Linked DNA regions of Stegostoma tigrinum. The protein of the gene in region 1 interacts with the protein of each later gene in a pairwise test. Links are inferred from orthologs where the notes say so. Each region holds a gene or a part of one and is shown in the gene's direction. Other genes may lie near its edges.

Region 1 (7,204 bases):
GGACACCAAGATCCCTCTGCACATCCAAACTACCAAGAATCTTTCTGTTGACCTAGTATTCTGCCTTCCTATTAATCCTCCCAAAGTGAATCACCTCACATTTATCCGTATTAAACTCCATTTGCCACCTTTCGGCCCAATTCTGCAGTTTATCCAAGTGTCCCAGCAACCAGCAACATTCTTTCACATTGTCCACCACTCCACCGACTTTAGTGTCATACGCAAACTTACTAACCCATCCACCTATGCCTGCGTCCAAGTCATTTATAACGATGACAAACAGCAGTGATCCCAAAACAGATCCTTGAGGCACACCACTAGTGACCGGACTCCAGGCTGAATATTTTCCATCAACCACCACTCGTTGCCTGCCTACAGAAAGCCAGTTTCTAATCCAAACTGCTAAATCTCCCTCAATCATGTGCCTCTGTATTTTCTCCAATAGCCTACCATGTGGAACCTTATCAAAGGCTTTACTGAAGTCCATGTACACCACGTCAACTGCCCTACCTTCATCCACATGCTTGGTTACCTTTTCAAGAAATTCAGTGAGGTTTGTGAGACATGACCTGCCCTTGACGAATCCATGCTGACTATCTCCAAACAAATTGTTGCTTGCTAGATGATTATGAACCCTATCTCTTATAATCCTTTCCAAAGCTTTCCCTACAACCAACGTAAGGGTCACAGGTCTATAATTACCTGGTTCATCTCTACTGCTCTTCTTGATCAAGGGCACAACATTTGCAATCCTCCAGTCCTCTGGTACTAAACCTGTAGACAATGAGGACTCAAAGATCAAGGCCAAAGGCTCCGCTACCTCCTCCCTAGCTTCCCAGAGAATGCTTGGAAAAATCCCATCTGGCCCAGTGGATTTATCTGCCTTCACACCTTCTAGAATTGATAACACCTCCTCCTTACTAACCTCAATCCTTTCAATTCTAGTAGCCCGTAACTCAGTCATCTCCTCTACAATATTCTCCTGAGTGAAAACAGATGAGAAATATTCCTTTAGCACCTCTCCGATCTCCACAGGGTCCACACACAACTTCCCACTTTTGACTTTGACTGGCCCTATTTCTACCCTAGTCATTTTCTTATTCCTCACATATGTTTAGAAAGCTTTAGGGTTTTCCTTTATTCTACCTACTATTGTCTGCTCATGTCCCCTTCTTGTTCTTAACTCTCTCTTTAAATCGTTCCTAGCTAATCTGTAACTCTTCAATGCCCCATCTGAACCATCTCGTCTCATCGTCACATAAGCCTCCTTCTTCTGCTTAATAAGAGATAGAATTTCTTTAGTAAACCATGGTTCCCTTATCGCTTCGTCCCTGCCTGACAGGGGCATACCTATCAAGGACACGCAATATCTGTTCTTAAACCAGCTCCACATTTTGACTGTCCCCACTTGTCGGCCCTTCGACACACTGTCAGGAAACTGTCCTGCACACGTTGGACAAAAACTGATCCATCCGATGTACTAGAGTTATAGCATTTCCAGTCAATGTTGGGGAAGTTAAAGTCTCCCATAATGACCACCCTGTTCCTTTCAGTCCTGCCCAGAATCGTTTTGCCAATCCTCTCCTCCACATCCCCGGAACTTTGCGGAGGCCTATAAAAAACTCCCAGCAGCGTGACCTCTCCTCTCCTGTTTCCGCCCTCAGCCCATACCACCTCAGTAGACGAGTCCTCGTCAAAAGTTTTTTCAGCCCCCGTTATAATGTCCTTGACTAACAAAGCCACACCTCCCCCTCTTTTACCACCTTCCCTGATCTTAATGAAAGATCTAAACCCTGGAACCTGCAACATCCATAAATAAATAAATAAATAAACAAACAAACAAACGTAAATTGTATCCACAAAGTCACCTTCTTCAAACAGTTGGGGAGAATGCTGGACACATCGATACCTTAGATCTTTGTTCAGGGCTGCTTTGCTTTTGACTGGATTTCAATCAAGACCAGTTCTGTGTGTTCAGCAGAGCTCAACACAGTAACAACTATTGAAAAAACCAAAAGAACCACGGGTGCTGGAAATCTGAAACAAAAACAGAAATTGTTTGAAAATCTCAGCAGTCTGGCAGCACCTATGGAGAGAAATCAGAGGTCACGTTTTGGATCCAGTGACCCTTCTTCCAAACATCCAAATTCATTTTCTTTTAAATTTTACATTATATTGTATATTATTTATACCCTATGTATTTCGAGAAGGTCACTTCTTGTTTTTGAATGCCAGTTGGCATACGCCCAACCTGCTCAATCGACATTTCATTCATTAGTTAAACTCTGCAGCCCAGGAATGATTCAAGTTAATTTTCTCTGTGAATGAAAATCTCCTTTTTCAAGTCATGAGACCATAACTTTAGGCATCTTGTGTGGCAGTGGTAGTGTCCTTATCTTTGATCTAGGAGGCCTAGGTTCAAGTCCCACCTGCTCCAGAGCTGTGTAGTAATATCTCTGAACAGGTTGATTCGAAAATAAACAGATCAAAACTTTATTCAGCATTCCAGGGGTGGTATAATCATGGGCCCTGTATGGGTGGTGTAAAGCTACCCCATTTTTATATTCCATTCACACAACCATACAATGTTTCTTCCAATTTAACATCCTTACGCAGCCAAGGATAACACATCCTTCTCAAAAAACTTTTCTTTTTCAATGCCATAAATATCTGTTGAGAGTTAATAATTATCTCCTTAGAAGTCTATTACACAATTTCTACCTTTTAATCCAATGTTGAGTTCATTTTAGCCAACTGCCTTCATTTTCTCATAATCACCTTTATTTAAGTTTAAAACGTTAGACTTTGACTCCTACTTCTCACATTTAAGCCTAATGGAAAATTCAATCATGTATGATTGCTATCACCTAGAGGCCCCTTTACTGTGAGGTTATTAATTATTTCTGAGGAAGGGTTACTGGACCTGAAACGTTAACTGATTTCTGTCCACAGATGTTGCCAGACCTGCTAAGCTTTACCAGCAATTTATGTTTTTATTTCTGATTTACAGCATCCGCAGTTTGCTTGGGTTTTATTAATTATTTGTCTCATTGAACATTATCAGATGTTGAATAGTCCAATCCACACCTGTTTGGACTAGCACATTCTGCTCGAAGAAATTGCCCGGATACATGCTATGAACCCATTTGCAGGCTATCTTTCCCAATTTGATTCACCCAAATTGCATAAGATTTAAGGCATGCAGGAAAAATCTGACAGGGAGAACATTTCTCACCAATAGCCAAGCTACATCTTGATCTTGTTTGTAAATGTAATATCAAGGAACCATCCAACAGGACCTGCCATCATCTTCTTTTCCTGGAGGACATCTAGCGCATTAGATGCAGATGACTGCCTGTTGGACTGGTCAAAGATCTTTACGTGCATGAACTTTACCATGAGGGGCAGATGGTACAACACAGTCCCAAGTAGATGCAACATTCTATGACAATGTGGATAGCGCCATCCTCCGTAACACTGGGGAAAGGTAGGACCTAAGCACATTGCTTGTGTACTGAAGGTATATGCACAGCTTGATGCAGCCACACAGAGAGCTAGTCATCAGATAGACAGTTGTTTGGTCGGTTCTTTCTTCCTTTGTTTAGAGATTTCTACATCATGTTCCAGTTTTTAACCTGCAGATAAAGCAGAAGATGGCTCATGTGATCACCACTGTAATGGAGTGAGGAATTTGCCAGACCTGCAGAATATACAACAACACTGGAAGAACCTGAGAAAGCTCTGATGCATAATCGAGAGGGAGTGTTGCTTCCACATGCTCATTTTTCTGTGTCACCCACTCAGGCTGTCTGAGCTGTATCCCCAGCACCTTCAGATAATCTGACTTGATGACCAAGAGAACATGTCAGTCCAGTTCTCAAGACAGCACTGCCTTGCTCTGGCCATAACCTATTTTGGCGAGCAAGGCCATTTGACATGGTCACAGATGCATATCAATCTACACACCGAAACTGGATCTGAGCAGAAGATGGTAATGTTATCCATATTGGAAGACTTTGACCGGCGACACCTGTCTTCGCTGAGTGGGACTATGTTTCCATTCTTCCCGAGGGCTCAGAAAAGGGTTCGATCCACCACAGTAGAGAGAGAGAGCAGCCCTGGCTGTAGATTGGAGCAGAAATCTTTCTGAAGCCATCCACCTCCGGTACCGCAGCACTCCTGTGAAATGGGACATTGAATCCATAATGTTGTGCCTCAGAAAGGTCGAATGCTGCATGAGCCGCTTACATCCTAGACAGGTATCTTTTCTTTTGCGGACTGGCCGATTGCAGCTTCGCCTTTGAAGTTTGCCTTGAAAGTCAGTTCTGGGTCAGGAGGCGGACACTTGTTGGGAGGAGCCCAGCCTGCGGCAGGCTGTTTATAAACAGCGGTAGCGGGGACGCAAAGCGGAGTTCACATCGGGAACGCAGTGTCTAAAGGGGAATCAAGCTGACACTGATACCCGGCACCACGAAAGGTCCCAGGCTGATTCGCGGGACGCGGATGAAGAAAAACCTGGTCTTACTGTACAAGTACTGGGGTCTCCAGAGAAAGAGCAAGAAAAATAAGAGGCGAAAATGACCAGTTACACTGTCCGACTAGCTACACCCCGGGACTGCGGCGACATCCTCCGCCTCATCAGGGTGAGCTCCTGTGTTGATCGGAACGATTGCAATCCACGGGGCGGCCTCTCGGCCCGTCCGGTCTGTGTTCGATCTCTAAGCAGCAGTCGTCGTCCCCCCCCCCCCCCGTCCATGCTTTCCCCTGTGACCCCGCGGTCCTTTTCTGCAGCTCGGAAGGGTCTGAAGCTCTTTTGAAAACATGGAATGAATCCGCCTCCAGCTCCCCCGGGAGTTTGGAGGTGGGATGAGGTCACTTGCCTCCAGCTTCCCCTTCCACGGGGTGGATCCTAAGGGCACACTGAGTATAAGCCCTCCCTCATGTGGTCTCGGTTCACTTTAACAAAATGTGAGGCTGGATGAACACAGCAGGCCCAGCAGCATCTCAGGAGCATAAAAGCTGACGTTTCGGGCCTGGACCCTTCATCAGAGAGGGATGGGGAGGGGGTTCTGGAATAAATAGGGAGAGACGGGGAGGTGGACCGAAGATGGAGAGAAAAGAAGATAGGTGGAGAGAGTATAGGTGGGGAGGTAGGGAGGGGATAGGTCAGTCCAGGGAAGACGGACAGGTCAAGGAGGTGGGATGAGGTTAGTAGGTAGGAGATGGAGGTGCGGCTTGGGGTGGGAGAAGGGGATGGGTGAGAGGAAGAACAGGTTAGGGAGGCAGAGACAGGTTGGACTGGTTTTGGGATGCAGTGGGTGGAGGGGAAGAGCTGGGCTGGTTGTGTGGTGCAGTGGGGGGAGGGGACGAACTGGGCTGGTTTTGGGATGCAGTGGGGAGGGGGAGATTTTGAAGCTGGTGAAGTCCACATTGATACCATTGGGCTGCAGGGTTCCCAAGCGGAATATGAATTGCTCTTCCTGCAACCTTCGGGTGGCATCATTGTGGCACTGCAGGAGGCCCATGTCATCTGAGGAATGGGAGGGGGAGTGGAAATGGTTTGCGACTGGGAGTTGCAGTTGTTTGTTGCGAACTGAGCGGAGGTGTTCTGCAAAGCGGTCCCCATTAGATGGCATGTCCATCATGGGTCTCCTGCAGTGCCACAATGATGCCACCCAAAGGTTGCAGGAACAGCAACTCATATTCCGCTTGGGAACCCTGCAGCCCAATGGTATCAATGTGGACTTCACCAGCTTCAAAATCTCCCCTTCCCCCACCGCATCCCAAAACCAGCCCAGTTCATCCCCTCCCCCCACTGCACCACACAACCAGTCCAACCCGTCTCTGACTCCCTAACCTGTTCTTCCTCTCACCCATCCCTTTCTCCCACCCCAAGCCGCACCTCCATCTCCTACCTACTAACCTCATCCCACCTCCTTGACCTGTCTGTCTTCCCTGGACTGACCTATCCCCTCCCTACCTCCCCACCTATACTCTCTCCACCTATCTTCTTTTCTCTCCATCTTCGGTCCGCCTCCCCCTCTCTCCCTATTTATTCCAGAACCCTCACCCCATCCCCCTCTCTGATGAAGGGTCTAGGCCCGAAACGTCAGCTTTTGTGCTCCTGGGATGCTGCTGGGCCTGCTGTGTTCATCCAACCTCACATTTTATAATTCTCCAGCATCTGCAGTTCCCATTATCATCGGTTCGCTTTAACCAGGTAGACCCATCGAGTCTCCTCTGCCATCCAATGAGAACATGGCTGATCATCATCAACTCCACTTGCCTGCCTTTTCCCCATAACCCTTGATACCCTTGCTGATTGTAAATATCTGTCTCAGCCTTGAATATACTTAATGATCCAGTCTCCTCTGGCAAAGAATTTCACAGATTCACTATGCTTCAGAGGGGAAAATAAAAGTCTTCTGTGTCAGTTTTCATTAGATAATACCTTTTTGAGATCATGCCGTCTGGTCCTAGACTCTCCCATGGGCTGGCTGAGTGGTGCAACAATGTCTCTTCAACTACTTTTATCAAGTCATCTCAGAATCTAGTTTGTCAATAAAGTGCCCACTCATTGTTCTAAACTCATGAGTATGGGCCCAACCTGCTTAACCTCTTCTCATAAGAAAATAATTGGAATCCACCCAGTGTACAGTCTCTGAAGTGTTTCCATTGCTAGTATATCTTTTCTTGGATAATGGGCCAAACTATTCACTATACTGCAGGAGTGTCTAACTATGTGGTGTCTTTAGCATGGCTTCCCTGTTTTCATATTCCATTCCCTTTGAAGTAAAGGCTGGCAGTCCATTTCCCTTTCCTATTACCTACAGGTGTAAACTTTTTGTGATCCATGTTTGATGGTTGCCCAGTTCTTCTGTGCTGCAGCTATCTGCAGTCTTTCCCCATTTAGGTAATATTCAGCTATCTTGTTCTTTCTGTGAAAGTGCAAACCCTCACATTTTCCTCCATTATATTGTACCTATTCAGCCTGCTTTGTCCTTCTGTAGATTCTGTGTCTTCATCACTACTTGCCTTCAAATTCTGACACAAGAATTTTGTGTCATCTGCAAACTTGGTGATGGAGCATTCACTTCAGTCATCAAGTCATTGATATATATTGGAAATAAATGTAGCCCTAGCACTGATCACTGTGATGCTCCATTTCTTACAGGTTCCCATTCTGACAATTCCTCCTTTATCT
Region 2 (6,834 bases), on another chromosome or scaffold:
CAAACTACAAGTGGAAACTCGCTAAGTGTTATCCACGTTTGTTTTCAAGACTTTGGAAAACATGCTGAAAATGGTAGGGCCTTGTTGTCATGTTTCACTGGCGTATTCTTCCAGATCCCCCTGTAAGGCTGTTGATAAACAAATTGACTTGGTGGAAAATTAAATGTTTCATTTTCCTGAAGTTTCTTGTTACAATGGTCTGCTGATTATGTTAAAAAGTGCAAACGTTGCTCTTTTGCCATGATAATGATGCAGTATAGTGAGACTGATCGCTGCGGTTTCTTTTATGTGTATTCGAATGCCCAGCGAGCCCGAAATGGTACAATGTGTCCTTTTGGATTGATTAAAGAAGGATAGATGTAGTTTAGAGCCGCTAGAAACTAAGGTTTGTAAATATCCCGCCTTCATTTCCTTTCTTAGAAATATGTGAGAATTTTATTAATGTCATTATATTTTAAAGAATAATGCTTAGTAAAAACGTATCTCACAATGTCAATCTTTATTTTAGTGTTCGAATTGAACTTCATTCATTAAGTCCAGTCTATGGCGCATGTGAGATGGAACTGCTGTGTGACTTAGGTAGTTTCATGTTGTTGGGCTTCTGTTTGATCGCAGTGACAAGAAACTGCCTGAATTACTCCAGTTATTGTCATCGCAAACTTTTGGAACTTAGTTAAAAAGAGGAATCTCTGCTGTTCTGATACCCGAATAAATGGTTCCTGTGGCAAAACACTAAACGTGACGAAGCTATAAACAATGATATATAGTGCGAACTGTTATTGCAGATTACCGGACACATTTATCTATCCTATTGCTATTTATCCGATACATCGCTATATTCCAAAATGTAGTATTTGTGTATGAATGGCATGGTAAAGTTTTAAACAATGCAAATTGTGTGCATTTTTCTACTGATAAATGCACAATTTTGGAATTGCCTTGTCATTGCAAGCATCATTAGTTTGATCCGAATTTCTATTCGTCAGAAGGATCTGCAGTCAGATGGATTAATCGATTATACGTTGAATAAATTAATCGATATCTAAATCAACAGAACAGATGGATGAACTTGCAGTTGTGTAAGGTGTGTTCCCAGTAATATCTGCACCGTCTCTATTCATAAAAGACGTTATTACATGTTTTCTTGTAAGGCAGACAAATGGACAATGGGCCCTTGGAAAGCTGAAAATCTGTCGATATACAAGACGATTTATTTCTGTATCATATTAATTCAGTGTAACAGCTTTTATACATTTGTGTTATGATCGAGGGACGATAACTCTCTTCCATTCCCAGTTGAGAGCGCTCTTCAGTCCTCCAATGTTATGTTATCAAGTCTTGTAGTGTGAAGTAGTTGTGTTGTTTTTTTAAATTTAGCATAATATGTCTAGTCATAAAAGATAATGTTGTTACCACTTTATCATTAACGACGATTGTTCAGTCTATCACAATATTGCTGTATATCAAAAATATAGTCTGGGTCAATAATACTCCGGTAAGATACATCTGAATATAACTCATAGGCTTTTAAACTGGAGGTATCCAGTTGCAGAAAGACATTAGGCAAGCTTCCAGTGAGATTATTGCCTGTGGACGAAGAAGCTTCAGTCTTGCCCTAATCGATTTGTTATTTTGTTCGTTTACATATCAAAGTATAAGTTGAGCGAGTTTCCGCTGATAATCTTCAATTCGTTCGCCTTTGCTGTCAGTTTGGAACCTGCGAATTAAGTGTAGGATGCTGTTTAAAGTACTTGTAGGAATACATATACTGCCCCTGTTTTGCCCACCGAGTGAATTGTATAATGTCATCTCGGTTAAGGAAAAAGGAGCCCCTTTTAACAGCAATTTAGTGCCGAGGAGTGTTCCATCATAAACTTTATTTGATTGCCATACATTCAGCATCTTCACGATTTAATGTGAAGATTCTTTGTTTTCTTGTCTCTCTGCGTATTTCCAATGCATTATGAATTGAGCAAAAGGTGAGAGTGCAACGAACAAACTTACTAATGTGAAAGTAATAACTGCGTTGAAATGACTGAAGTTCGATTGGATTGCACAGCGTGCTGAGACAAGAGCAAAATGGCTCGCTTCTTTAATCGTTAGACTTAAATTAAACATCTTCTTTAAAATATAAATGTGGTGTTGCCACCAAATGACCTGCAGCGACCCTGAACGATGGATCTTTTCCTTTTCATCATGCTACTTGCTGTGTTTGGAGGCTGTGCCCAATTTTGCTTGGCAAGGATTGATAATGTATTTTTTAAAGCTTCTAAAAGTATATTACTTAAACTGGAAATTTGCAAGAAAGACCAACGATTTCCTACTTCTAAAACCATTTAAATATATTATTAAAACTCTCATAAAACCAAAGGTCTTAGAAATATTAGAAATGATTGTTGATTGTTTTATACATTACTGTTGAAACGCAGTTCCCTGTCCTTGTCGATGTCACACTTTGCATCTGTTTTCCTGTATTGATGTAACAATTAAAAGCATATTTCCCATTTCACTGAAGAATACCCAAAACTGCTTTGTTGCGAAAAAAATGGAGTGCATATTTTCATTGATAATGAAACCTTTATGCTATTAAGAAAATTGTTTAAACTGGGATTTGTGCATTTAAGATAAGTTTTAGATGCAAACGGGAAAACCCGGCATATCCCTGCTATAACTTCCAGCTGGGAAGAAGAACGACAATGCTAGTATCATATTGTCAATTAAAAGTTCCGAACTAAAAGACAGGCGAGTGTCTCTGAAGTATATTTTAACATGTAGACAGCAATACACTGGCAGAGTGATTGTTTCAGCTTGAAAAGATACATATAAAATCCAATAACTGTGTTTACTTTGAGTAAATAGATGTCGACTTATTTCGCGCATTAAATAATTTTTTTTACTGTTCATACATATAAAGCTGTTTAGAAAATATTGATTTGTGGCATTTTTGGATGTCTATAATTATATATCAAAACTTGCATATTTGGCTCCATGAGCAATAATCGCTAACATATCCCGTTTTACAAATGACTGAAAAATCTATTTGATGCAAATATTCAGATGCGATCTGCAAATCACGCCGGCCTTTCAAAGGGATGCCTGCCGTTGAAACAATCGCCCTATTTGACTGTTTAGACTGGACAATATTCATTGATGTTAAATGAAGATGTATCCGTCAGCATCTTAGCAGCTTGAGAATACGTTTTCAAGTACGCAGCCTTGAATGTAGAATAAGGTTAAATTAATTTCCCCCAATGTTTTCATCTAAACTTTCGAATTCATCATGGCGGCAAAATAAACTTTATCGGCAGGCGAGTGGACAAGAGGGTTACTTTTACTTCAACGCATCGCCAGAAAGAGCAAACAGAATCAAAATGCTAAAGAATTTTGTGAATCTTGTGAGATATTTATGATCATGATGCTAACAGCAAATATAAGTACATAGGTGAACCGTTTCACTGATCTTATCTAATAATTGAATATTCTCAAAAATATTCCCGGTACAGTAGTTTGGACCTTATCCAGGCTCTTGCAAGGTTTTTTTTATCATGGAGAATTCAGTTGGTATTTAAGATATAGTGGATCTCCAATAATAACATTAACGAATACTCAGATGTTCACCTCAGCCGATAGTTTGTTCTATACCTCTATACTCGTTAATGCTATCTTAATAGAAGCCACTGTTGTAAATTAGCAGCCCTGCCGACGGTCACCTGCCTGCCAGCATAACCGTCCAAAAATTACAATTCAAATATTCGTCGAATTATTTCCGAGCCTAAATAAATGTTTGTTTATTCATTTTTAATTATTTTTCTTCATCTGAACAATAAATTTTGTTTCGTCAATTTATAAACTAAACCATTGACAGGATTAGAATTTAAAATGTTTATATAAATATTCCCCCAATTTGTAATGTTCTTCATTGCCTTCGCCATTGTTCGTCCTTCATCAATTATCAAATCTCTTCAAATACAACTCTTTGCATTTAACGCATTCATTTAGAGGTCGATTACAAACATCGATTCTATTTTATTCCGCTGATGCAAAGTAAAGTATTAATAGTTTCCATTAATAAGTTCCATTTCTTTCAAAGTGATTTGCAATTTAAAAACCGAATAATTTTCAACCTGTGTAAATTTTTCATTACCCACCGAATTTTGTCTGAGTATTCGCATTTCACTAATTGTACTTAGTTTTCGAACATTAATTCACGCTTTGTCCTTAGCTGATGATACAAAATCTTTCTTGGCTCTTTTCTTCCTGGAACTGACGGAAAACATAAGAGAAAACTTAGTTTACATTTATAGTTAACCTCTAACAATGAGTGTATATTTTAATACACAATAATTATTCACTTGTTCACTAAAGTTCATGATTATTGGAGGGTTCGCTTTTCTTTTTCCTTTGTTCCAAAATAGACTTGCGAGGAATTTGAAATCACACAGCATAAACAAAGCAGGATAATACGTAGCCGTGGCTTTCGTATGACTGTGAGCTTTAAAACATCACAATGGGAACAAAAAAGACTTTGTTGGCTGGAAATGCAGAAACCAGAATCAGAAACTACTTTAAATCCAATTCGTTCTAATCTTCCTCAATTGCAGTCTTTCGACTGAATTAAAATTTTACGAGAAAGTAACGGACCATCTTCTCACATTTTCGTGTATTTTCATTGCAATATCTTCTCTATAAGATCTAAAGTTGTCACACATAGCACGCACGCATATTTCATTCAATGGCACCAGAACCTCGGGCTAATATTGTCAACTCCAATCTAAGCGTTCCGAACCACCAACCTCACCAGCTTCTCGTACCCATCAAGTACAAATATCGCAAGAATAATCTGCTGCGTTGATTGCATTTAACACTTCTTATGTTACGGATTTAAAATAATAACAGTAATACAAAAACTGGCGATGATGAGACCTGGTGTGGGAATTTATCGCACGACGTAAGATTGATTAGGAAACAAAATAGTTCCTTTAAAAAATGTCCGTTAAAGTTAACCAGGTTTTGCATTCTGAGGAATAGTTGCTCAGTATGTATTTATCCGTGGTACTGTTTATTGTTCAATCCCCCTTTTACTTCTAAATGTATTTAATACGGGGGGAGGAGGGGGATGCTAATTGTTTAACCCCCATTGCGGATTGATTTACGTTTTATTGTCGCTTTGTCGGCCTCATGAAAACTTTAACCAATCGTTTCGCAGATAGCCCACAACATATTAGCTAACTCTACTTTGTTAGTGGAGAAGTTGAGAGAACAATTTCTAGTCTTACATATAATTTCTCAATGAATCGAAGTGTATGATGTTTGACAATGTCGATCTCTGGTGCTATTGGCAACTACTTTGTCGATTCACTTATAAGTCATGAAAGCGAGGGATCGCCTGCAACAAAGTTTGCTTCGGGGCAATACTTAGTCTCCAGGCAGCCGCGAGTCCCCGAGCACCCCGAATTTCCTGCTTGTAATTTTCAGGCGAAATCTCCGGTGTTCGGCGCCCCTTGGGCCCCCGTGTACGGCCAGCCTTCTGCCAATGTTCCCACTTTGCACCATCCTTACGTCCAGTCTCACCCCATTCAGCCTGATAGCAGGTACATGCGGTCCTGGTTGGACCCGACCCCCAGGGCTGTGTCCGGACCCGGAATGCCTTCCAGCGGTCACGATTCATTGAAAGCAGAAGTACCCGCAACACATGGCGGCGAAACCCTACCAGCAGCGCTTCAAAAACTACATGGCGAATATTTGGAGAGCGAAACCATTTGCTCCGGGAAAGCGCAGTGCTACGAAGACAGTATATGTGAAGAGAAGGCAGACAAAGAGACATCAGAGCAGAGTAAGTTTTTCGAGAGATCTACTTAACTTATCTCAATGAAAATAGTTTCCAAACCTCGTACAAAACAAAAACACGCTATTGTAGTAAGGTTCCAATTAAAAGGTAGTTTGTTCCCAGTTTAGCCTCAAGGATTTAACTGGTCTTATGTCGCTTGTATATTATACGCCTCCGTTCTGTTTTATGTAAACACCTGCATATCCTTAATGGCGGTTTCGCCAGATTATCTTCTACGAGACATTGCATAAATGGAGGAATAAATAAAAAGTATTCACTGCTGTTATTTTCCGTTCGAAATAAGCTCCTGAGAACCATGAAATGTGCGCCGCACCATCTTTATGTGAAGCTGCGGAGAAGGGAGAAAGGAAATATTTCATGTAGCGGAGTCGGCTCTCCGAGTTTATTTCTGAATTGTAAACGTGGTAATCAACAGCAAAATGAAGTCTTCGCAATTCGAGAGTGCCCAACAGTTTCCAGTTCAGTAATACACTATACTAATGGACAAACGCTTAGGAGTAACACAAGACCCAGACACACACACACACACACACACACACACACACACACACACACACAGACACGCACTTTCTTAATACTTAGCTAGACCGATATAACTGTGGAAGAAGACTCCCACAAGCAGTAAAATGTTAGAAATATCATTTAGAAATTATGATTGCAATATAATTCTTATTCTCATCTGATTATTTTCCCCTTCACTCATCTTTAGACAATCCTGCTGCAAACTGGTTACATGCCCGCTCAACGAGGAAGAAAAGATGTCCTTACAGCAAATATCAGACCCTGGAGTTGGAAAAAGAATTTCTGTTCAACATGTACCTCACCAGGGACCGGAGGCACGAAGTAGCGCGTCTTCTTAACCTGACTGAAAGACAAGTCAAAATCTGGTTTCAAAACAGGAGAATGAAGATGAAAAGACTCAGTAAGGAGCATGTAAAAGAGTTCGAGTGACTAGCTGTTTAAATTTAACTTTAGCGCGTAGCCGG
Region 3 (8,014 bases), on another chromosome or scaffold:
CAGTTGTCTCCTCCCACAATACAACCAACTCTGGCTCAGTCGACATCACTGGTCCCATCTGGACCAGCTCGGTATTCTGTCCCCTGTTGGTGAGGTGCAGCTACCGGCTGGTTCACTGTCTCCTCCAGACTCGTTCAACACTGTGCACCCTATATGACAACTGTCCATAAGACCTTAAGACGTAGGAGTGGAAGTAAGGCCATTCGGCCCATCGAGTCCACTCTGCCATTTAATCATGACAGATGTGCATTTCAACTCCACTTATCCGCACTCTCCCTGTAGCCCTTAATTCCTTGTGAGATCAAGAATTTATCAATCTCCGCCTTGAAGACATTTAACGTCCCGGCCTCCACTGCGCTCCATGGCAAGTCCTAACTGAGCCACCACCACTGCTGGGATCCATTTTGCCCAATATGTAATTTTGGGCCAGAATTTTTCCTCTTTGGTGTACCCTCAAACTTGACGTTCCCACCCTTCTGACCATCTGTCCTTCCTGGTTTCAATTTACTTCCTCTGGTCTCTTCTGGTTGCAGTAAGTCAAACGTGATTCTCAGCTGGTGGTTAAACATTTAAGGACATCAACAAGCACTGGGTCGTTGACTATGGTGTATTCCCATATGTGCTGAGGAACTTAAGTTGCCGTACTTGCGAACACTCCAAGACCTGCTTCAAGGTTTGTATAAATTTCTCCATCTGGTTGTTTGTCACAGGGTGATATCGAGCCAATCTCATGTCTGACTCTGCTTTTCCAGGTAATTCTTGAACCCTTGTGCCACAGACTGGATCGGTGTCACTCACAACTTGTTTGGAGTTACCACACCATGCAAATAGTTTGACTGAGGCCACCTCCCATGGGATGAAGGGGCAACGATGGCTCTGCTTTCCTTACTAATGCACAGGATTAATATGATCCCACTTCCTCCACATTCATCCATCAAAAGTAGCTCTTGGCTATTTCTTTCGTTCACACCATGCCAGGGTGCCCTTAGTGCACCTTTCCTCTTAACAGGGGAGGGGCAACAAATCTCCTTCCCCACATTGAATTAACTGATATGAACAACTCCCACCTCTTGGACAGGTCACGGCATAATTTGGGGCAGTCTCTATGACGAGTCCTTCCTCTCAGGACTAAGTCCACTACAAGGTTCAAGACATAGTCATTTTGAGCACCATTCCGCAGCCGACTTTCTGATACCAATATGCTGTCTTCCTAGGAAAAGTACATAATTTTCAGGTTTCAGTCAGGAACATCCTTATTTTGCAGTCATGTTAATCTTGACAAAGCATCTGCATTTCTGTGCTTTTTCAACTGTCAGTATCTCATGATAGGAGTAGGCTGTCAAAACTAATGCCCATATTGACAGGTGTGCTGCCACCATTGATGGTATTCCTGTATAGATGTCAAAAAAGGAGCTTCACAGCCTGTGGTCTGTCAGCAGCATAAAGAAAATGGGAGAACTTTCAACATCAAGCACAATGCTCAACTCTTCCTTTTGCACTTGAGTATACTTCTCCATCTTCATTAAATCTTGATGTGAATGCAATGGACCTTCCATCTCTCTTTGGAAAGATGTGACAGTACAGGGCCAACCCCATAAAGTGAGGTGGCACCCCAACTGCAGTGGGGAGAAATTATTCAACACATCCAACCTTTTCAGTGCTTGCTTCACCTACCAGCAAGCCTCCATTTTCACAACTCTCTTTTCCAGATGACTGTAACCTAGAAGTTACCAAATATCCTTGTCACACCATCTGTTTTTAAGGCTGGGATGATTGGAGTGGCTCATTCATTGGTAGTTACTGGTTCCAGTGCTCCCAGGTTCACCACCTATAGCAATTCTCACCCTCTACATTAGGCCAGGTGGTGTATGGTACTGAATGTGCCTTCAGACTGCTTGGATAAACCCCCCACCCTACTTCAACCAAAGTTTAATTCCTATTCCTTTCATTTCCTCTAGGGTTCCGTCAAAGACATCTTTATAGAACATAGAACATAGAACAGTACAGCACAGAACAGGCTCTTCAGCCCACGATGTTGTGCCGACCATTGATCCTCATGTATGCACCCTCAAATTTCTGTGACCATATGCATGTCCAGCAGTCTCTTAAATGACCCCAATGACCTTGCTTCCACAACTGCTGGCAACGCATTCCATGCTCTCACAACTCTGTGTAAAGAACCCGCCTCTGACATCCCCTCTATACTTTCCTCCAACCAGCTTAAAACTATGACCCCTCGTGTTAGCCTTTTCTGCCCTGGGAAATAGTCTCTGGCTATCAACTCTATCTATGCCTCTCATTATCTTGTATACCTCAATTAGGTCCCCTCTCCTCCTCCTTTTCTCCAATGAAAAGAGTCCGAGCTGAGTCAACCTCTCTTCATAAGATAAGCCCTCCAGTCCAGGCAGCATCCTGGTAAACCTCCTCTGAACCCTCTTCAAAGCATCCACATGTTTCCTATAATAGGGCGACCAGAACTGGACGCAGTATTCCAAGTGCGGTCTAACCAAAGTTTTATAGAGCTGCAACAAGATCTCACGACTCTTAAACTCAATCCCCCTGTTAATGAAAGCCAAAACACCATATGCTTTCTTAACAACCCTGTCCACTTGGGTGGCCATTTTAAGGGATCTATGTATCTGCACAACAAGATTCCTCTGTTCCTCCACACTGCCAAGAATCCTATCCTTAATCTTGTACTCAGCTTTCAAATTCGACCTTCCAAAATGCATCACCTCGCATTTATCCAGGTTGAACTCCATCTGCCACCTCTCAGCCCATCTCTGCATCCTGCCAATGTCCCGCTGCAGCCTACAACAGCCCTCTATACTGTCAACGACACCTCCAACCTTCGTGTCATCTGCAAACTTGCTGACCCATCCTTCAATCCCCTCATCCAAGTCATTAATAAAAATTACAAACAGTAGAGGCCCAAGGACAGAGCCCTGTGGAACACCACTCACCACTGACTTCCAGGCAGAATATTTTCCTTCTACTACCACTCGCTGTCTTCTGTTGGCCAGCCAATTCTGTATCCAGACAGCTAGGTTCCCCTGTATCCCATTCCTCCTGACCTTCTGAATGAGCCTACCATGGGGATCCTTATCAAATGCCTTACTGAAGTCCATATACACCACATCCACAGCTCGACCCTCATCAACTTTATACTTGCACAAAATCTCTTACAAACTCATTTTTGAATCCATCCCACTTTTACTTTAACGTCTGTAACCAGAAACATCTGTAATGCAGGGTAATCACATTTCACAATGTACAGAGGCAGTCAGAACACTGGGTCCGCTCACTGGGGTCCCAGAACCTGAAATAGAAAATGAGGTAGATGGAGGGCAACCTTGTGGTCCTTTATGGTGGGCACTCAGTGTAAACTCTCATTGACCTGTGGTCCTTGTGTCAGAGAACACATAGGATGAAAGAGATCATAGTGAGAGGGCAATCACAGAGTGTGAGAAATCAGTGATCACTATCAGAGATCTCACAGAATAAAAGAGATCACCAGAAGAGGGAGATCGCTAAGAGGATCACCGATCACAGTAAGATCAGTGTGTGGGGCAGATCAGTGAGCATTCAAAGTGTGAGATCATAAGTGAGATCACAGTTAGAGGAAGATTACAGTGATCAGTGGGAGAGGAGATCACAGTCATGGGGAGATAATGGTGATCAATGAGAGAGGGGATTACAGTCGAGGGGATCCTAGATTAGTCAGAGAGGGAGATCACAGTCAGGGGGGCCACAGTCACGTGGAAGATAACGGTGATCAGTGAGAGAGGCAGATCACAGTCAGAGGGGAATCAAGTGATCAGTAAGAGAGGCAGATCACAGTCAGAGGGGAATTACGTGATCAGTGAGAGACGGGATTACGGTCAGAGGGGGATCACAGTCATCAGTGAGAGAGAGGATTACAGTCAAAGGGGATCACAGTCAGAGAGGATCACGGTGATCAGTCAGAGAGGGAATTACAGTCAAAGGGAGATCACAGTGATCATTGAGAAAGGGGATTACAGTCAGAGGGTGATCACAGTGATCAGTGAGAGGCGCAACTACAGTCAGATGGGGATCTCAGTGAGAGAGGGAATTACAGTCAGGGGCACCACAATAATCAGTGAGAGAAGGGGATTACAGTTAAGAGGGAGATCAGTGACAGGGGGATCACAGTCAAGGGGGGGATCACATTGAGAGAGGGGGTTACTATATCAGAGGGGGATCACAGTCAGGGGCAGATGACCAGTCAGAGAGGGATCACAATCAGAGGGAGATGACAGTGATCAGTGAGAGAGTGGATCACAGTAAGAGGGATATCACGGTCAGGGCAGACCTCCATGATCAGTGAGAGAGGAGTTCACAATCAGAAGGTGATCATGGTGTATAGCGAGCAAGGCAGATCACAGTCAGAGAGGGATGACAGTACTCAGTGACACGGGTATCACAAAGGGGATCATAGTCAGAGGGGTATCTCAGTGGTCATTGAGAGAGGGGATTACTGTCAGAGAGTGATCACAGTGACCAGTGAGAGAGGGGATCACGTCAGAACGGGCTCAGAGTGAGGGAGGGGATTACAGTCAGAGGGGGATCATAGTGATCAGTGAGAGAAAGGGATAACAGTCAGAGGAGGTCATAATGATCAGTGAGAGATGCAGGTCATAGTCAGAGGGGGGATCACAGTGACCAGCAAGAGACTGGATTACAGTCAGTGGGAGATCACATTCAGGGGGAGATCACAGTCAGAGGGGATCACAGTGATCAGTGAGTGAGAGAGATCACAGTCGGAGGGGATCACAGTGATCAGTGAGTGAGAGAGATCACAGTCGGAGGGGATCACAGTGATCAGTGAGTGAGAGAGATCACAGTCGGAAGGGATCACAGTGATCAGTGAGTGAGAGAGATCACAGTCGGAAGGGATCACAGTGCTCACCGAATAATCACTGGCAGAGCCATCCAGCTGGGCGGTACTGCGCACGCGCTGTTTCCGGCCGGTACTGCGCGAATGCGCACGCGTGCCGTCCAGGACCCGAGCGGCCTGCAGGTTGGCCGAAAAAGAGAGGGTGAGGGCCTGAGAGGGGAGGGTGGTGAGACCGGAGGGTATCATAGCCTCTGCGGATACAGCAGGTCCCCACAAACCGTGTAATATCTGTCTAGATTACCCATTGGAGGAAGGGAGGGGGATGGCCAACCATTTGTAGTGTTTAAGAGGAGTGTACTTACCATATCATAAGATTCCAACGGTATGGAAACAGGCCATTCGGCCCGACAAGTCCATACTGCCCTCCGAAGAGCATCCCACCCAAACCCATTCCTCTATATTTCCCATGTCTCCCCCACCTAACCTAAACGTCCCTGGGCACTATGGGGCAATTTAGCATGACCAATCCACCTAGCCTGCACATCTTTGTACTGTGGGAGGAAACCAGAGCACGTGGAGGAAACCCCCACACACGTGGGGAGAATGTGCAAACTCCACACCGACAGTCGCCCGAGGCTGGAATTGAACCTGGGCCCCAAGCGCTGTGAGACCGCAATGCTAACCACCGTGCCAGAATTTCTTACATTCTTCCCTTTTTTCATCTTTCCAGGATGCCATTTGTCCAGTTTTATCACAATTTGATTGCCAACAAACAGGGACACTGCCTGGAATGCACCTATGTGATTTGCAGAGCTGAACCATGCTCCTTTATAGGCCACTTTTAACTGTCAGAGAACACCTAATGTGAGGATGGCTGGTTTGAATGACACTTGATTTTCTTCATTGAGTGGATTCTTACTCAGGACCTCCTCCTCCTTTCACTAGCACCATCAGTCTCACTGCCAACCCCTTCGTATTGCCCACAGTACCCTACCACAGTTGAAGTGTTCCTCATTTCATCTGGTTGGGTACTGTGCTTCGAGGTGAACTATTGGTCAAGGCACCAGGGAGAACACCCAGTGTTCTGAAATAGGGCTGCTGCGGCCTCAGTTTAGCACCTCAACTGATAAACAACAGCTCTGATACTGCAGCAACAGAAACTTGATTTATATTGTGTCCTTCTGTAGTTAAAGTCCAAAGATACTTCACAGAAGTGTTGTCCAATAAAATTTGAATTGTACAGTATTAGGAGTTATTAGGGTGGGGGCTGAAGGGTTTGGTTAAAAATATATTTCAATTGAGTATCATAAAAAAAATGTGGAGAGATAGGTTTAGTTTCAAAGTTGCAGATGGATTCAAATGATTTGCGGCCTTGCCAATGGTGGAATGTTTAAAATCTGGGATGTTAAAAAGGCACCCCACAGCAACAATGACACTGAGTTGCATAGCAGATACTAAGCCAGGTGGCTAAATGTATGGTCAAAGAGGTAGGCCTTAAGGAAAGGAGAGGCAGGAGGGAGCAGATATGTGTGTGGAGTGGTATTTCAGAATTTGTGGCCAAAACAAATTTGAAAATGTTTATTGATGGTTGAGCATTTACAATTGTTAATGTACAGATTTCTGGAATTGGTTGAGTGCAGATATCCTGGAGGGTTGTGGGACTGAGAGAGATTGGAGATAATGAGGGATTTAAAATCAAGGGTGAGAATTCAGAAAGTACCGCACAAAATGAGTTGAGATGATCAAAACAGTCTGGGATACAAATATCCTCACATACCCACTGTAGCCTGTGTGCACTTTGCGTCATCCATCACCCATCTATGCCAAAATTTTTCTGCTGCTGTCCACTTTGCTACAATCACTGATTTGTGATAACACCAGTTGAAGGTCTATAAAAATGCCGAGATGCCTTCTTAGAAGAACAATTGAAAACAAGAATATTATGTTAAACTTAGTTGGATCATAGAGAAGTGTGCAGAGTCCTAGTCTTCAGAAAGCATGTGGAGGGGCCGTTGAAGGTGCAAAACAAAATTACAAGGCAGATGCCATAATGTGGGCTACACCTAACAGGAAAGACAAAAGAGACCGAAAAGGAGGATAAGTCACGCGAAGTTAAGGAATTTAAATTAATTAAAGATATGATTGGGTAGGTGCAGATAAAATATTTCCACTTGTAGGGAGTCCAAAAAAAAAGCCTGGAGGGTAACATAGGATTTTTTTTAATTAGATATATTAACTTTGTTCAAAAATTGGTGAGAATGTGGAAATCACTGGCAAGGTGTGGCTCAGGTGCTTAGTATCAATGCACATGAAGGAAGATACATTGATGGGGTTAGGTGAGGAAGGTGGAAGAGTCTTGTTTTAGAGCAGAAATATCAACAGTTGGGTTGAGTGACCTGCATGAGAGCAATAAATTGTACATATTTATGGTTTTTTCGGGATAGTAAGCATTTTACTGTGTTCAGTATAGCAGTTTCACCTTCACTTTTACAGGTGATTGACAGGACCTCAGCTATGGCTACAGTTGCTGCATTTCAAAGTGTTTGCTCATGGAACAGAAGATGTCTCCTATTCTCACTGCGGTGGTCAGCCAAGTTGCTGCCAAAGCCCAGAGTTTTATTATCAGTGCCTACTCCCACGTCCAACCAGGCAAGTGGCCAGTATTGTTCCTTTTCACAACGTGCTGAGATCCACACGTCTGCAGCTAATTCCGCAGGGCACAACAAATGGTCAAAGGTGAAGCACGTCAAAGGGCCAAAGGATGCTGAGAGGAGTCGGATGTTTGCTAAGTTGTCGATAATGCTTCGCTTTGCAGTGAGAGGTAATATGGACAAAATAACCACAGCCCATGTTTGTTTCTATTCCAGTTGCATTTGTTTATTAGTTTTCTTTTCCCTGCCTGTTGGTGGCTGAAGTACAATTGATGCGGTGACTTATTTGCAGTTGTAAGCTCATTGAGAAGAGTGACATCACTGGAAAGTCTGTCAAAGGTGACCGGTGCTTTACTACAATGTAGAGAGATCTGGATTATCCAAATACCACCCCAACCCCACATTCATCCCACACAACCTTGTCATTAGATCGTCAGCATTCTTGCTACAAATATTAAACTTGTGGAGTTCAATTTTAAAACCTTGTATTCAGTGGCCCAGGTGT
Region 4 (6,981 bases), on another chromosome or scaffold:
ACTTGTCCCCACACCTCCTCCCTCACCCCCATCCCAGGCCCCAAGATGACATTCCACATTAAGCAGAGGTTCACCTGCACATCTGCCAATGTGGTATACTGCATCCACTGTACCCGGTGCGGCTTTCTCTACATTGGGGAAACCAAGCGGAGGCTTGGGGACCGCTTTGCAGAACACCTCCGCTCAGTTCGCAACACACAACTGCACCTCCCAGTCGCAAACCATTTCCACTCCCCCTCCCATTCTCTTGATGACATGTCCATCATGGGCCTCCTGCACTGCCACAATGATGCCACCCGAAGGTTGCAGGAACAGCAACTCATATTCCGCCTGGGAACCCTGCAGCCATATGGTATCAATGTGGACTTCACCAGTTTCAAAATCTCCCCTTCCCCCACTGCATCCCTAAACCAGCCCAGTTCATCCCCTCCCCCCACTGCACCACACAACCAGCCCAGCTCTTCCCCCCCACCCACTGCATCCCAAAACCAGTCCAACCTGTCTCTGCCTCCCTAACCGGTTCTTCCTCTCACCCATCCCTTCTTCCCACCCCCAGCCGCACCCCCAGCTACCTACTAACCTCATCCCACCTCCTTGACCTGTCCGTCTTCCCTGGACTGACCTATCCCCTCCCTACCTCCCCACCTACACCCTCTCCACCTATCTTCTTTGCTCTCCATCTTCGGTCCGCCTCCCCCTCTCTCCCTATTTATTCCAGTTCCCTCCCCCCATCCCCCTCTCTGATGAAGGGTCTAGGCCCGAAACGTCAGCTTTTGTGCTCCTGAGATGCTGCTTGGCCTGCTGTGTTCATCCAGCCTCACATTTTATTATCTACAGAAATAACAAGGTGTAGAGCTGGATGAACACAGCAAGCCAAGCAGCATCAGAGGAGCAGGAAAGCTGATGTTTCGGGTCTTGACCCTTCTTCAGAAGTAGAACTACACCCTTGTTTGCTGGTATGGTCTTCCTACCTAGAAATATAAGGAGTAGAAGAACTTTTAAAAAATTTTCATATGTCACCTCATTGAATCCCACTAATTGTCTGTTTGTTAGTTAAGGAATAATGTTTGACACAGGAGACTTACAAAGAGCTTTTAATGGAAGAGAAAACAATGTAATTGCAGACCAGTCAGTTTAACTTTGGTGATTGGGAAACCTTATGAAAACAATAGCTTGGGATAAAATTAGGAGACACTTGGAGATGTGCAGGTCAGTTAAGGAAAGCCAGCTTGGATTTCCCAAGGAAAACTCATGTTTAATTAACTTGCGAACATTTTCTGAAGAGGTAACAGAAAGGTTCACAATGGCAAAGCTGTTCCTATGTTATAGATCGACATTTTGAAAGCATTTGTTACAGTGCCACACAACAAACACTGTGAGCAAAGTTAGATCTAGTGGAATAAAAGGAACAGCAGCAACATGGAAACAAAATTTTGTGACAATATTGTGCCTTTAAGAAATGTGTTCTGTCCTGTTTCTTCTGCAGAGGGGTGTTGTCATAGTGGTACAAAAATGTCTCCTTCAGACAGGCAATTGGTAAACAGTTTTGAGTTCTCCTTGGTGTTATGTTTAAGACAAAACACTCATGAGTGAATGGGGTCAGGCTCACACAAACCCCCAAAGGGCTTTGATTTTGCTTTGAATTAGCTGGTGGTTCTACTGGCTGTTGGAGCTGAAAGCTTGAATTCTCTGCTGCTGCGGTGAAGTCTTAGACAGAGAGGTTTCTTCTTAAAAATCAAAACGGGCCTGATCGTTTCTTTCTACTGGAGTGGAGAGAGACAGCGTGAGAGAATAATAACTGTTCTGCTGAATTGCCTTTGCCAATGGTGTGTATATGCTGCCTTTATTGGAACCATAGTTGCTAATTAGTGGTTAAATAATACATTATCTTTGTGAAATATTTCAATAGAGTAAAGTTATGCAAATCCTTCTTTTTGTTGCATTTTAACTGTGCTGCAAGAATAGAAGTGTTTTGATTAAAAGCGTGGTGGTGGGCCAATTGAATTATATTGGAACAGGGGCTTACATTTGTCTTTTAAAAAAGTATAGAAGAGTGAGTCTAGATTATCCCCATAATATACTTTGGGGGATCCGGTCCGATCCATTACAATTGGCTGAGTGACAACAGCAAACCGATGGTAATGGTTACTGAATAACTTTTAGGCAACTGAAGGTTTGCATTGAGTTCTCCAGGAGTCAGCATTAGGACCCTTATTTTTCCTGGTAAATATGAATGATATTAACCACGGTGTACAGGACAAAACTTCAAAATTTGCAGATGACAAAACGATTAGAAAGTATTGTGAACAATTAGTACTGTGTAGAATTGCAGAAGAACATACACAGTTGGATGGAGTGGGCAGATAGGTGACAGATGAAGCTCAACACAAAGTGCGAGATGATACATTATGGTAGGGGATACTGTATAAAACCAAGGGTACAACTCTCACATGAAGGTAATCATATGGTGTAGCTGTAGATTCTCTGAGCCAGGAGCACGATAGGCTCGTCATAAATATTTATTCTTAAAAAGGCTTTTGTATCGCAGTGGTAGTTTGGCTCCTTCTGATCCAGAAAACCCTAGTTCAAATCGCTCCTGCATTGGAAGTGGCACAGTCAAACAAAATAGACACTAAAAATACATAAAATATGCCCCCTAGTTTTGAACTTGCTCACCTTACAGAAAAGACCCTTGCTATTCACTTATCTGTGCTCCTCAGATTTTATGAACGTCTATAAGGTCACTCTTGAACCTCCTTTGCTCCAGAGAAAAAGAAGTCCCAGCCAATTTTTATACTTCAAACCCTCTGTTCCTAACAACATCCTGATAGATCTTTTCTAAACTTTTTCCAATTAAATAATTTCCTCCCTATAGCAGGCCAACCAGAACTACACACAGAACTCCAGATCAGGCCTCACCAACATCCTGTACAATCTTGGAAGGCAACAGTTTCTGCCTTGGAGGTCAAATCTGTGGCCAACATCTGACTGGTGTAGACATGCTGGCAATGGCAATCTCTCCTGCATTTAGTGTGGAGGAAGATGGTGGAATGAGAAGGTGCATGATTTTCTGATCTTTGTTTTCTCTGGACTCACTTCCAGTGCCTTTCCAAAACAAACACAAGAATACAAGGGTCAATTTGTGAAAGTGACTTGACATTTCAAGACCATTTTGACTCTTCTTCAGAGTGCTCAATATCTACTGATAAAAACAGAAATTCAAGACCATTTTGACTCTTCTTCAGAGTGCTCAATATCTACTGATAAAAACAGAAAGTGATATCGCGATTTAAGAAGAGGCAGCTTTAGTGGGGTCAGGCTGAGAGATTGGTACTGCTGTTGTCTCACAGCACTGGGAACCTGGGTTCAATCCCACCCTCTGGATCTCATGCGGAGCTTGTACGTTCTTCCCGTGTCTATGTGGTTTTCTCCCACAGCCCAAAAGTGTGCAGGTTGGCTGGACTGACCATGGTAAATGTAAGGTGAAGAGGTCAGAGCTGGAGGGCAGGTCTGGGTTGGACATTCTTCAGAAAGTTGGTGCAGCCTCGATGGACTGAATGGCCTTCTTCCACACTTAGGGATTCTGTGATTGGTTCATTGAGGGGAAAGGCGACTCCCAAACAGTTAACTCTTTTCGTTTCTCCACAGATGCTGCTGGATGAACTGAGTTTCCATCGTCTTCCGTTTACATCCTACGTTAATTTCTCAGACTTAGTCTTCTCCATTGAGTGTCAGCGGAAACAGCCAGTCTTCAAGCCCATAGAGTAGAAAATCTTTTCTAATGAAGGGTCTAGGCCCGAAACCTTAGCTTTTGTGCTCCTGAGATGCTGCTTGGCCTGCTGTGTTCATCCAGCTTCACACCTTGTTATCTTGGATTCTCCAGCATCGGCAGTTCCCATTATTCACGGTCTTCCGGCCCTTTCTCCCTCCACTTCCGGTCCCAGGGAAGTTGGCGGGCGGGGTTCCGGTGAGAGCGGCGCAGGCGCACTGGTGGTTCCGAGCCGGGAGCTGACAGGGAGAGCGAGAGCGCGCGGGGCTCAGGCTTGAGCTTGGGCCTGGTGTTGGGAGGAAGGCGCGGCAGGCAGGAGTCACCATGTCTTCCAGGAGCCTCCGGAAACTGCGCGGGGAGCGGAAACAAGAACCGCTCAATCACTTTGCCGACCAGGAGGAGGAGGAGGCGGAGGAAGAAGAAGAGAGGCCGCTGGAACCCGCCACGTCTCGAAAACGACGGAGGAACAGGGGAAATAAAGCGGCAGCTGGAAACCTGCCCCAACTGGTGAGGGCCCGCTCTGGCTGGGCTGGGGTGGGGTGGGGTGGTGGGTTGGGGCGGGGGGGAGAGGGAGGGAGGGTGGGTGTGGCGGGGAGAGGGAGGGAGGGAGGGAGGGAGGGAGGGTGTGGCGGGGAGAGGGAGGGAGGGAGGGAGGGTGTGGCGGGGAGAGGGAGGGAGGGAGGGAGGGAGGGAGGGTGTGGCGGGGAGAGGGAGGGAGGGAGGGAGGGAGGGTGTGGCGGGGGGAGGGAGGGAGGGAGGGAGGGAGGGTGGGTGTGGCGGGGAGAGGGAGGGAGGGAGGGAGGGAGGGTGGGTGTGGCGGGGAGAGGGAGGGAGGGAGGGAGGGAGGGAGGGAGGGTGTGGCGGGGGGAGGGAGGGAGGGAGGGAGGGAGGGTGGGTGTGGCGGGGAGAGGGAGGGAGGGAGGGAGGGAGGGTGGGTGTGGCGGGGAGAGGGAGGGAGGGAGGGAGGGTGGGTGGGTGTGGCGGGGAGAGGGAGGGAGGGAGGGAGGGAGGGTGGGTGTGGCGGGGAGAGGGAGGGAGGGAGGGAGGGAGGGAGGGAGGGTGGGTGTGGCGGGGAGAGGGAGGGAGGGAGGGAGGGAGGGAGGGTGGGTGTGGCGGGGAGAGGGAGGGAGGGAGGGAGGGAGGGTGGGTGTGGCGGGGAGAGGGAGGGAGGGAGGGAGGGAGGGAGGGTGGGTGTGGCGGGGAGAGGGAGGGAGGGAGGGAGGGAGGGTGGGTGGGTGTGGCGGGGAGAGGGAGGGAGGGAGGGAGGGTGGGTGGGTGTGGCGGGGAGAGGGAGGGAGGGAGGGTGGGTGGGTGTGGCGGGGAGAGGGAGGGAGGGAGGGAGGGTGGGTGGGTGTGGCGGGGAGAGGGAGGGAGGGAGGGAGGGTGGGTGGGTGTGGCGGGGAGAGGGAGGGAGGGTGGGTGGGTGGGTGTGGCGGGGAGAGGGAGGGAGGGAGGGTGGGTGGGTGGGTGTGGCGGGGAGAGGGAGGGAGGGAGGGTGGGTGTGGCGGGGAGAGGGAGGGAGGGAGGGAGGGTGGGTGGGTGGGTGTGGCGGGGAGAGGGAGGGAGGGAGGGAGGGTGGGTGGGTGGGTGTGGCGGGGAGAGGGAGGGAGGGAGGGTGGGTGTGGCGGGGAGAGGGAGGGAGGGAGGGAGGGTGGGTGTGGCGGGGAGAGGGAGGGAGGGTGGGTGTGGCGGGGAGAGGGAGGGTGGGAGGGTGGGTGTGGCGGGGAGAGGGAGGGAGGGAGGGTGGGAGGGTGGGTGTGGCGGGGAGAGGGAGGGAGGGAGGGTGGGAGGGTGGGTGTGGCGGGGAGAGGGAGGGAGGGTGGGAGGGTGGGTGTGGCGGGGAGAGGGAGGGTGGGAGGGTGGGTGTGGCGGGGAGAGGGAGGGAGGGTGGGTGTGGCGGGGAGAGGGAGGGAGGGTGGGAGGGTGGGTGTGGCGGGGAGAGGGAGGGAGGGAGGGTGGGAGGGTGGGAGTGGCGGGGAGAGGGAGGGAGGGTGGGAGTGGCGGGGAGAGGGAGGGAGGGTGGGTGTGGCGGGGAGAGGGAGGGAGGGTGGGAGGGTGGGTGTGGCGGGGAGAGGGAGGGAGGGTGGGTGTGGCGGGGAGAGGGAGGGAGGGTGGGAGGGTGGGTGTGGCGGGGAGAGGGAGGGAGGGTGGGTGTGGCGGGGAGAGGGAGGGAGGGTGGGTGTGGCGGGGAGAGGGAGGGAGGGTGGGTGTGGCGGGGAGAGGGAGGGAGGGTGGGAGGGTGGGTGTGGCGGGGAGAGGGAGGGTGGGAGGGTGGGTGTGGCGGGGAGAGGGAGGGTGGGAGGGTGGGTGTGGCGGGGAGAGGGAGGGTGGGAGGGTGGGTGTGGCGGGGGAGAGGGAGGGTGGGTGTGGCGGGGAGAGGGAGGGTGGGTGTGGCGGGGAGAGGGAGGGTGGGAGGGTGGGTGTGGCGGGGAGAGGGAGGGTGGGAGGGTGGGTGTGGCGGGGAGAGGGAGGGTGGGTGTGGCGGGGAGAGGGAGGGTGGGAGGGTGGGTGTGGCGGGGAGAGGGAGGGAGGGTGGGTGTGGCGGGGAGAGGGAGGGAGGGTGGGAGGGTGGGTGTGGCGGGGAGAGGGTGGGAGGGTGGGTGTGGCGGGGAGAGGGAGGGTGGGTGTGGCGGGGAGAGGGAGGGAGGGTGGGAGGGTGGGTGTGGCGGGGAGAGGGAGGGAGGGTGGGTGTGGCGGGGAGAGGGAGGGAGGGTGGGTGTGGCGGGGAGAGGGTGGGAGGGTGGGTGTGGCGGGGAGAGGGTGGGAGGGTGGGTGTGGCGGGGAGAGGGAGGGAGGGTGGGTGTGGCGGGGAGAGGGAGGGAGGGTGGGTGTGGCGGGGAGAGGGAGGGAGGGTGGGTGTGGCGGGGAGAGGGAGGGAGGGAGGGTGGGTGTGGCGGGGAGAGGGTGGGAGGGTGGGTGTGGCGGGGAGAGGGTGGGAGGGTGGGTGTGGCGGGGAGAGGGAGGGTGGGAGGGTGGGTGTGGCGGGGAGAGGGAGGGAGGGTGGGAGGGTGGGTGTGGCGGGGAGAGGGAGGGTGGGAGGGTGGGTGTGGCGGGGAGAGGGAGGGAGGGTGGGAGGGTGGGTGTGGCGGGGAGAGGGAGGGAGGGTGGGAGGGTGGGTGTGGCGGGGGGAGGGAGGGTGGGAGGGTGGGTGTGGCGGGGAGAGGGAGGGAGGGTGGGAGGGTGGGTGTGGCGGGGAGAGGGAGGGAGGGTGG

What was found.
Region 2: the proteins of diamine acetyltransferase 1-like (region 1) and hoxb9a interact in binary tests that used the Homo sapiens proteins (3 or more experiments, as listed by UniProt). The two-hybrid records come from large-scale screens. The link is inferred for Stegostoma tigrinum from reciprocal best matches to the Homo sapiens genes SAT1 and HOXB9.
Region 3: the proteins of diamine acetyltransferase 1-like (region 1) and translational activator of cytochrome c oxidase 1-like interact in binary tests that used the Homo sapiens proteins (3 or more experiments, as listed by UniProt). The two-hybrid records come from large-scale screens. The link is inferred for Stegostoma tigrinum from reciprocal best matches to the Homo sapiens genes SAT1 and TACO1.
Region 4: the proteins of diamine acetyltransferase 1-like (region 1) and tcf25 interact in binary tests that used the Homo sapiens proteins (3 or more experiments, as listed by UniProt). The two-hybrid records come from large-scale screens. The link is inferred for Stegostoma tigrinum from reciprocal best matches to the Homo sapiens genes SAT1 and TCF25.

The regions. Positions count from the first base shown.
Region 1 is NC_081365.1:77,559,752-77,566,955, reverse strand, and holds the start of diamine acetyltransferase 1-like, read left to right. Parts: upstream 1-4,181; 5' UTR 4,182-4,577; coding exon 4,578-4,643; intron 4,644-7,204. UniProt on the Homo sapiens protein: Enzyme which catalyzes the acetylation of polyamines. Substrate specificity: norspermidine = spermidine >> spermine > N(1)-acetylspermine. This highly regulated enzyme allows a fine attenuation of the intracellular concentration of polyamines.
Region 2 is NC_081384.1:4,143,929-4,150,762, reverse strand, and holds the start of hoxb9a (homeobox protein Hox-B9a), read left to right. Parts: upstream 1-3,820; 5' UTR 3,821-5,316; coding exon 5,317-5,833; intron 5,834-6,557; coding exon 6,558-6,799; 3' UTR 6,800-6,834. UniProt on the Homo sapiens protein: Sequence-specific transcription factor which is part of a developmental regulatory system that provides cells with specific positional identities on the anterior-posterior axis.
Region 3 is NC_081384.1:38,590,150-38,598,163, forward strand, and holds the start of translational activator of cytochrome c oxidase 1-like, read left to right. Parts: upstream 1-5,004; 5' UTR 5,005-5,060; intron 5,061-7,351; 5' UTR 7,352-7,372; coding exon 7,373-7,679; intron 7,680-8,014. UniProt on the Homo sapiens protein: Acts as a translational activator of mitochondrially-encoded cytochrome c oxidase 1.
Region 4 is NC_081369.1:38,570,039-38,577,019, reverse strand, and holds the start of tcf25 (transcription factor 25), read left to right. Parts: upstream 1-3,962; 5' UTR 3,963-4,093; coding exon 4,094-4,276; intron 4,277-6,981. UniProt on the Homo sapiens protein: Component of the ribosome quality control complex (RQC), a ribosome-associated complex that mediates ubiquitination and extraction of incompletely synthesized nascent chains for proteasomal degradation.